Linked DNA regions of Macaca mulatta. The protein of the gene in region 1 interacts with the protein of each later gene in a biochemical or structural test. Links are inferred from orthologs where the notes say so. Each region holds a gene or a part of one and is shown in the gene's direction. Other genes may lie near its edges.

Region 1 (4,985 bases):
ACACTACAAACATTAGCTGGGCCTGGAGTTGTGTACTTATGGCCCCAGCTACTCGGGAGGCTGAGGTTGGGGATGGCTTGAGCCTGGGAGGCAGAGGGTGCAACAAGCCTAGATTGTACCACTGCACTCCATCCTGGGCAACAGAACAGACCTTGTCTCAAAACAAAAAAACAACAGAAAACAACAAAAAAAATGCAAGATAGTTTCTTGGCAATGAGGACCTTATCTTCTAGATTGAAAGCGGCCCTGACAATGACTGAGAAAGACCCCACAGCAAAGCTTATCGCTGTCCAGCGTCAGAACCCTGAGGATAAAGAGGGGCTTCTAAAATTTTAGGTTATTGTAAATACTTGGGAATACAAAGAGCAAACAATCATGAAAAGCTAGGAGACAGTGGAACAACTGATGACTCAAAAAAATCAGTTAAAGCTGGGCGTGGTGGCTCAAGCCTGTAATCCCAGCACTTTGGGAGGCCAAGACGGGCGGATCACGAGGTCAGGAGATCGAGACCATCCTGGCTAACACGGTGAAACCCCGTCTCTACTAAAAAATACAAAAAAACTAGCCAGGCCTAGTGGCGGGCGTCTGTAGTCCCAGCTACTCGGGAGGCTGAGGCAGGAGAATGGCGGGAACCCGGGAGGCGGAGCTTGCAGTGAGCTGAGATCCGGCCACTGCACTCCAGCCTGGGCGACAGAGTGAGACTCCGTGTCAAAAAAAAAAAAAAAAATCAGTTAAAAAGGCTTTTCAGCCTAGAATTCTCTTGTTTGTGAAACGGTCCGTCAACTGGGTTGGAGTGCAATGGTACAGCTGTCTTGATCTCGTGGGCTCAAGTGATCCTTCTGCTTCAGCCTCCCAAGTAGCTGGAACTACAGGCATGTGCCACTGTACCTAGATTTTTTTTTTCTTTTTTCTTTTTTTTTTTTTTTTTTCCCCCCCCCAAGTCGGAGTCTTGCTGTCGCCCAGGCTGGAGTGCAGTGACGTGATTTCAGCTCACTGCAATTTCCACCTCCTGGGTTCAAGCAGTTTTCTGCCTCAGCCTCCCGAGTAGCTGGGATGACAGGCATCCGCCGCCACACCTGGCTAATTTTTATATTTTCAGTAAAGACGGGGTTTCACCATCTTGGCCAGGCTGGTCTTGAACTCCTGACCTCATGATCCACCTGCCTTGGCCTCCCAAAGTGCTGGGATTACAGGCGTGAGCCACCACGCCCAGCCCTGTGCCCAGCTGTTTTAAAAACATTTTGTAGAGATGGGGTCTTGCCATGCTGCCCAGGCCGACTTTGAACTCCTGGGCTCAAGAGATCTCCCACGTTGTTCTCCCAAAGTGTTAGGATTATGTGCGTGAGCCACTGTGCCTGGTCCAGCCTAGAGTTCTATAACCATCTAAAACAATCAAGTATCAGGGCAGAACAAAGTTACTTTCTGGTGTACAGTCTTAATTATTTTAACCTTGGTTTGAACCACATGGAGAGATAAACCCGAAATGAAGCACAGAGCTATTAGGAAACAGGGGACCTAATAGGACAGAGGGTGAAAGTAAAGGTGGTCACAGCAGTGCAGCAGAGCCTCTGCCCAGAGAGCCGCCAGTCCTGGCTGGAACAGGAGGCTGCACAGCCGGGGACACTCTCTATGGAAAACACCAGAACCAGTGGGGCCTCGGATCCACTTCACCCTCTGAGCAATAGTCTGTAGTTTGTAGAAAACTATGGAGATGCTGTGGGGAGAACATGGGGAAAGTCAGCAAATGAAAAGAGAAGGCAGGTTGGGTGCGGTGGCTCATGTCGGTAATCCCAGCATGTTGGGGGGCGGATCACCTGAGGTCAGGAGTTCAAGACCAGCCTGGCCAACATGGTGAAACCCCGTCTCTACAGTAAAAATATAAAAATTAGCTGGGCATGGTAGCACGTGCCTGTACTCCCAGCTACTCTGGAGGCTGAGGCAGGAGAATCACTTGTACCCGGTGGGCGGAGGTTGCGGTGAGCCGAGAGATTGCGCCACTGCACTCCAGCCTGGGCGTCAGAGCGAGACTCCGTCTAAAAAAAAAGAGAAGCCGTCATCAGTGGTAGGAAAACAAAAAGCTATGCAAGGAAATAGTCTGCCCCTTGACCCAGCAAAGAACATTTAGATAGAGGTACTAGCTGAAACACTGAATGTTCTTTTAACAAAAAACTGAGTCTTGGAAAGGGTAGTGGAAGGAGAGGCAGATACCGGTCTAGAGTAGGAAGTGCACAGGTGTGAACTCGATCATCAGGTGGGAGCAGCATGCACAGGTGTGAACTCGATCATCAGGTGGGAGCAGCATGCACAGGTGTGAACTCGATCATCAGGTGGGAGCAGCATGCACAGGTGTGAACTCGATCATCAGGTGGGAGCAGCATGAGCTGAAAGGGTGCAGGGAGGCTTTGGGGAGTGGGATGGGAGCAGTGTGTGCACCACAGCCTTTGACAACCGGTGACTCTAAGCTGTGGGCATGGAGACTTTTGACACTATTTAATTTCAGAATAGTGCAGGTGATTCTTTCCTCTGTCCTTGGTGAGTTACGTGAGCCTGGAGGTGTGCAGGCTCCCTGCGCTGCCACGTCGGGCCCCATGCCTCGCCTGCATGGCCTGTCCACTCCGAGCGGAGCCCAGCGTTTAGGTGCGTGTTGTGTCATCACCCAAAGCCTCTGTGTGCAAGTGTCATGAGGCACACACAGCCTTCCATCACTGTGGCTGGAGGTGCCCGTCACATGCAGTGTTGGCTCCCCCGTACTTAGGGCTTGGCCCTACCTGCTGTGTAGCCCATACCCTGCATGGTTAGAAAAAACAAGGTCTCTCTTGACTTTCTGGCTTAGAAGCTGACCTTAGATGCTAGCTGAGGTTAATGTTTTACTGAATTGGAGAAAGAGAAAGCTCCAGTATCGCGGGCACACCGAGAATGTTTCCAGAAGCCACAGAGATTTGTAGCTGGGATATTGGGAGAAGCCTCGGACTCACACGTTTGCATCGTCTAGTCCCATACTGACTGTGTGATTCCGGGGTCAAGCTGGGTAGGAGAACCTAGCCCCTGCATCCACACACTGAGTGCCGCCATCCAGACCCTCACCTGCTTGTGTGGACTGAACGTGAGATCGTGAGTCTGTAGTCCCCACAGGCCACACTCCTGCTCGCAGCTGCCTCCTTGGGGGAGCGTCACAGCTTTCTCTCTCCTCCTCGGCCTCTAGGCATTGAAGTGGATATTGACGTGGAGCACGGCGGGAAAAGAAGCCGCCTGACCCCTGCCTCTCCAGAGAGTTCCAGCACAGAGAAGAACAGCTCACAGCCAAGCAGCTGCTGCTCTGACCCCAGCAAGCCGGGTGGGAATGTTGAGGGCGCCACGCAGTCTCTGGCAGAGCAGATGAGAAAGATCGCCTTGGAGTCCGAGGGGCGGCCTGAGGCAAGCCTGTGCCCCTCCCACCACCTGGGACTTCGGGCAGCCTAGCGATTTGTAGCTGCACCTCCACCTCATCCTCAGCACCTATGCAGCCACTTATGAAACCTGAGGGAGCTGCTGCTGCTGCAGTGATGTCTGTGCCATTAAAGTCACTCTGGGAACCTGCTAGAACTTTGTAGTTACTTGGTCTTTGTGAGTGGCTCACTGATCCCCGTAGCCCCCTGCAGCCTTAAACACATGTGTGCGTGCACGCTCCCCGACTGTTTGCCAGGAGTCAGTGCCATGGTCAGGCTTGGCCTGTTGCGCGTGTCTCTTGTGTGCTCATGGTGAGTTCTGTTCCAGGAGCAGATGGAGTCTGATAACTGCTCAGGAGGAGACGATGACTGGACCCATTTGTCTTCAAAAGAAGTGGACCCGTCCACAGGTGAACTCCAGTCCCTACAGATGCCAGAATCCGAAGGGCCAAGCTCTCTGGACCCCTCCCAGGAGGGACCCACAGGGCTGAAGGAAGCTGCCTTGTACCCGCATCTCCCACCAGGCAAGTGAACCAAGAGTTCTGTGTTCAGTCCTACCTTTCCCTTCAGAGCATCCTGCCCCCCGATTCCAGCGACACAAACAGGATGGGACGTTCTCCACTGCAGGGCTTGTCTGTAGGTGTGGGAGGTTAGGAGTTGGTTTTGTCCTCTTACGTCTACCCTGAGCAGCAGTGAGTAAGCTCTGCTAATGCAGGAGTTCTAAAAATGTTTTTCTTTAAGCAAACTCCAGAGCCAGGAATATTAATTGTAGGAGTTTCTAAAACTTAACATGCAGACCAGGAATTAAGGTAGGTGTGACGCAGAGAGGGGGCAGCACTGGGTGTGTCCCTACTACTCACACTGGGCTCAGACCTCTTCAGTGTCTCCTCAGGGAGTGCTGGTCTGAGTGGGGGTCATAGCCAAGATCCCTGGAAGAGCCAGGCAGAAGCCACCGTTGAAGTGGATGGTGTGGAAGGCAGCGGTGGGGGGTGGGGACAGCTGACAGAGACTCCTCATTGTCACTGCAGCCGTGTGTAAACCAAGGTCTGTGCACAACCTGCTGTGCGCCGCCAGTGTGTCTTCTCTGCCTTAGGGCAGGGGATGGCGAGCTATGGCCTATGGGCCAAGAGTAGTTCTTGTATTTTTCAATCAAAAGATGTGACAGTTAGAGGAAATGCGTATTTCAGTGTCCAGCGATAGTTTTGTTTACATGCCACCTGGCTGCCTTGTGTCACAGTGGCAGAGTTGAACAGTGTGAAAAAGACTGGTTGGCCCTTTACAGGGAAAGCAGGTCCACTGTGGCCTGTGAGGGCCAGAGCTCTGGGCACTCGGACACTGGCAGGCCCTGGTCCCGCTGGCCAAGGCAGGAGGGTGTGTGTTTCGGGTCACTCACAGGGCTCAGCATCACTCCTCATGGCTTCCTTACTGTTTTGGCAGAGGCTGACCCGCGGCTGATTGAGTCCCTCTCCCAGATGCTGTCCATGGGCTTCTCTGACGAAGGCGGCTGGCTCACCAGGCTCCTGCAGACCAAGAATTACGACATCGGGGCGGCTCTGGACA
Region 2 (4,985 bases), on another chromosome or scaffold:
GACCCCTCTGGGTAGCTGAGTTGTCTGCTTTCTCCAAGGGCAGCAGTCCCAGAAACAGTGGATAGAAACAGGAGTACCAAAGTTTCTCAAGGTTAAATTCTGCTGTAATAAATGCCTTTATAGGCCGGGCACAGTGGCTCACGCTTGTAATCCCAGCACTTTTAGGAGGCTGAGGTGGGTGGATCACCTGAGGTCGGGAGTTCGAGACCAGCCTGACCAACATGGAGAAACCCCATCTCTACTAAAAATACAAAAAATTAGCCGGGCGTGGTGGCTACATGCCAGGGATTACATGCCTGTAATCCCAGGTACTCGGGAGGCTGAGGCAGGAGAATCACTTTAACCCGGGAGGCAAAGGCTGTGGTTAGCTGAGATTGTGCAGTTGTACTCCAGCCTGGGCAACAAGAGTGAAACTCCATCTCAAAAAAAAAGAAAAAGGAATAAATACCTTTATAACAGAAACTTCTGGGTATCAAATAGAACCAATAGCATATATTTTAAGAAGTATCCAAAAATTCAAATAATACTGTGTCAAAATAATATTGGAGAATCTCTTTATCTATTATAATGAAATTTGACCTATATCTTTAAATATTATTTATCTTACTTTTGTTTAAAATACACATGTAAGGCCAGGCGCAGTGGCTCACGCCTGTAATCCCAGCACTTTGGGAGGCTGAGTTGGGCAGATCACGAGCTCAGGAGTTCAAGACCAGCCTGACCAACAGGGTGAAACCCCATCTCTACTAAAAGTACAAAAATTAGCTGGGCGTGGTGGCGTGTACCTGTGATCCAGCTACTCAAGAGGCTGAGGCAGGAGAATTGTTTGAACCTGGGAAGCAGAGGTTGCAGTGAACCGAGATTGCGCCACTGCACTCCAGCCTGGGTGACAGAGCGAGACTCCATCTAAAAAAATTATAATAAGACAGTGGCTCATGCCTGTAATCCCAGCACTTTGGGAGGCTGAGGTGGGTGGATCACAAGGTCCGGAGATCGAGACCATCCTAGCACAGTGAAACCCCTACTCTACTAAAAATACAAAAAATAAGCCAGGCATGGTGGCAGGTGCCTGTAGTCCCACCTAATCAGGAGGCTGAGGCAGGAGAATGGCGTGAACGCGGGAGGCGCAGCTTACATTGAACCAAGATCAAGCCATTGCACTTCAGCCTGGGCAACAGAGTGAGACTGTCTCAAATTAATCAGTCAATCAAGCAATCAATCAATTGTGCATATCTTTATATGTTTTTCCACATGTGTGTACAAATACATAACAAAATGGTCTGGAAACACAATACCAAAATATTCACAGCTGTTATTCTGATAGGATTTATGGGTATTTTTTTTTTTTTTTTTGAGACGGAGTCTCGCTCTGCCGCCCAGGCTGGAGTGCAGTGGCCGGATCTCAGCTCACTGCAAGCTCCGCCTCCTGGGTTCACGCCATTCTCCTGCCTCAGCCTCCTGAGTAGCTGGGACTACAGGCGCCTGCCACCGCGCCCGGCTAGTTTTTTTGTATTTTTTTAGTAGAGACGGGGTTTCACCGTGTTAGCCAGGATGGTCTCGATCTCCTGACCTCGTGATCCGCCCGTCTCGGCCTCCCAAAGTGCTGGGATTACAGGCTTGAGCCACCGCGCCCGGCCTTTTTTTTTTTTTTTTTTTTTGAGATAAAGTCTCACTCTCACCCAGGCTGAAGTGCGGGTAGCAAGTTTATGGCTCATTACAGCCACAACATTCTGGGCTCCCCCCACCTCAGTTTCCCAAGCAACTGGGACCACAGCCACATGCCACCACACTGAGCTAAATTTTTTTTTTTGTAAAGATGGGATTTCGCCACGTTGCCCAGGCTGGTCCCGAACTCCTGAGCTCAAGCAGTCTGCCCACCTTGGCCTCCCCAGGTGCTGGAATTTTAGGCGTAAGCCACCACACCTGGCCTGGATAGCTTTTTTTTTTTTTTTTTTGAGATAGAGTCTCTCTGTCACCCAGGCTAGAGTGCAGCGTTGCAATCTCGGCTGACTACAACCTCCACTTCCCAGGTTCATGCCATCCCCCTGCCTCAGCCAGCCGAGTAGCTGGGACTACAGGTGCCTGCCACCACACCCGGCTAATTTTTTTGTATTTTTAGTAGAGATGGGATTTCAACATGTTAGCCAGGATGGCCTTGATCTTCCAACCTTGTGATCCGCCCACCTCGGCCTCCCAAAGTGCTGGGATTACAAGCATGAGCCACCGCGCCCAGCCCCTGGGTAGCTTTTTTATACCCTTTCTTACCCCCTCAAACATGATTGGCCAGTTTTCTCCCATGATTGCATCATCTTTGTAAAGAAGAGGAGGAGAATAGGCATGTAATCCTGCAATACTAGTCTCCTAACTTTTTCTCTTTTTATAGCATTGTTAGTGTATCCATTTTGGTTTAAACTCTACCTCAGTGTATTAACCATCACATGAAAAGGAAAAGGGAAGGGATGGAGCTGCCTCCTTTTGTGATTCATAGAACTTTTTGGAAGCCTGGGTGTTTCTGCCTACCTTGTTTCTGTGAGCTTTGATTCTATTTTGTTTTGCATAGTCTTCAACCTTAGAATGTGGTCATAGTTCCAGAACCAGCCCTTCTCGCTAGTTCTTCCCTCTCCTCTGGCTTTCATAATTCTATCTCATGATCCACAAGGCTTTACCAAGTAAGGATAGTACTTAGGCCTGCTTTTAGCTTCCACCTTAAAATTGGTTGCTTTCATCCTTTAGTGAAATTTGCCTTGCCTGAGGAAGGACCACTTGGAGATGAGAGGGAGGAGATTGTCCATATCACTGAGGAAGAAGCTGTCATGGAGGAGGAGGAGGAAGAGGAGGAGGAGGAGGAGCTCAAAGATGAAGTTCAGAGTCAGTCCTCTGCTTCCTCAGAGGATTACATCATCATCCTGCCTGAGTGCTTTGATACCAGCCGCCCCCTGGGGGATTCCATGTACAGCTCTGCACTCTCACAGCCAGGCCTGGAGCGAGGTGCTGAAGGCGAGCCTGGGGTTGAGGCTGGGCAGGAACCAGCTGAGGCTGGGGAGAGACTTCCTGGAGGGGAGAACCAGCCACAGGAGCACAGCATAAGTGACATCCTCACGTCCTCACAGACTCTGGAAACAGTGCCCCTAATCCCAGAGGTAGTGGAGCTTCCACCGCCACTGCCCAGGTACCACTCACAGCCGCCTCAGCTGGGGTGTTCTTCAGAGGTGAAATAAAGAGTGAGAGGAACCGACCTGATCTCAAAAACCTGTTTTTTCCTCAGTATGGGAAGAGACTATTTTCCATAGTAAAGTCTGAATTTAGATGAATAAAGGTTGTATTTCCCAGTATTTGTGGATTCTGGATTTAAAGAAATATTTGTTTTAGTTGGCCTTAAATTATCTGAGTATAGTCTGTCTGCTTATATTTTGATTACTGAGAGCTGGTTTTGTTTTTTGTTTGTTTTTTTGTTGTTGTTGTTGTTGTTGTTGTTTTTGAGACAGGGTCTCACTGTTGCCCAGACTGGAGTTCTGTGGCACAATCTTGGCTCACTGCCACCTCTGCCTCTGAGGCTCAAGCAATCCTCCCACCTCAGCCCCCTGAGTAGCTGGGACTGTAGGCATGGGCCATGATACCCAGCTGATTTTTGTATTTATTGTAGAAGTGGGGTTTTGCCATGCGCCCAGGCTGGTCGTGAACTCCAGCCTCAAGCAATCCACCCGCCTGGGTCTCCCAAAATGCTGGGATTACAGATGTGAGCCACTGTGCCTGGCTGAGAGCCAGTTTGTAAACACAAACATCCCTGGACCTTCCCTCCTTGTTTTATTGACTCTTCAGTAAAGGCAGCAAAAACTCTACCCAAACAGCCATAATTAGGAAGTTAAATCCATTATGGGAAAAAACACTAAAAAACCAAACAAATTGTTTTCAATTCCCTGGTGAATCTATCTGAATCATTCTTATCCTAATAGTAGGGAAAATGCTGGAGCCTTGCCTATAATGTAAACCATTCTCCCCAAAAGCTAGACATTTCCATTTATTGACACCACTTGATGTAGGTAGGGACATGAACAGACTGAAGCCAACATTTCTAGCTTGGCTGTGGCTAAAGAGGAAAACGGGGTACAATGTAGCCCTTATGACGGAACGCTAAATCCAGACATGTGATTTAGATCAGAAATGTGAAGCCTCTGTAGAGAATTTGGCACTGCTGTGCTGTGTTTACTATTTCTCCACTAATGCCATAAGTGTCTTTTCAATTTACTTTCCATATTGTGTCTTTCTGAAAGGAGCCCTCCTTGTGTACATCATCATGGTTCCCCAGGAGTGGATTTACCAGTTACCGTATCAGAAGTTTCTTCAGTCCCTGATCAGATCAGAGGAGGTAATGATCAGCCTAAGCTTTTTCTCTTTTTCTCTGTTCCTGTCTAATGGAAACCAGGTATAAATAGCCTCTCTGTCTTCGTGATTCTTGGCGGTTTTTAGAAACTTGCCCTTCACAGGCTGAGCATGGTGGCTCACACCTGTAATCCCAACACTTTGGGAGACCAAGGTAGGCAGATCACAAGGTCAGGAGTTTGAGACCAGCCTGGCCAACATAGTGAAACCCTGTCTCTACTAAAAAATAGCAAAAATTAGCCGGGCATGGTTGTGGGTGCCTGTAATCCCCGCTACTTGGAGGCGGAGGTTGGAGTGAGCCGAGATCGCACCATTGCTCTAGCCCAGGCAACAATGCGAGATTCCATCAAAAAACAAAAAGAAAAAACAACTTGCCCTTCACTCTCCATGATCCTCCTGCATACTTGATAATTTCTATTCTCTGGTTGAATATATTGTTAGACCTCACAGAGGCAGTGGAAAGAACACAGGCTTTGTGCCAAACTAATCTAAGTTCCAGCTCTATCTCCACCTTTCCTGACTAGCAGTTCAGCAGGTTTCTAATGGCTGTGAGTCTGTTTTCTTACTACAAAATATATCAGTGCATTGGGATTATAGAGTTGATT

Evidence for each region. The genes of interacting proteins can lie anywhere in the genome.
Region 2: the proteins of SQSTM1 (region 1) and NBR1 form a complex in vitro, tested with the Homo sapiens proteins (3 studies listed by BioGRID). The link is inferred for Macaca mulatta from reciprocal best matches to the Homo sapiens genes SQSTM1 and NBR1.

What each region holds. Positions count from the first base shown.
Region 1 is NC_133411.1:188,838,872-188,843,856, forward strand, and holds part of SQSTM1 (sequestosome-1), read left to right. Parts: intron 1-3,202; coding exon 3,203-3,414; intron 3,415-3,753; coding exon 3,754-3,949; intron 3,950-4,862; coding exon 4,863-4,985. UniProt on the Homo sapiens protein: Molecular adapter required for selective macroautophagy (aggrephagy) by acting as a bridge between polyubiquitinated proteins and autophagosomes.
Region 2 is NC_133421.1:67,535,633-67,540,617, forward strand, and holds part of NBR1 (next to BRCA1 gene 1 protein), read left to right. Parts: intron 1-2,733; coding exon 2,734-3,169; intron 3,170-4,271; coding exon 4,272-4,366; intron 4,367-4,985. UniProt on the Homo sapiens protein: Ubiquitin-binding autophagy adapter that participates in different processes including host defense or intracellular homeostasis.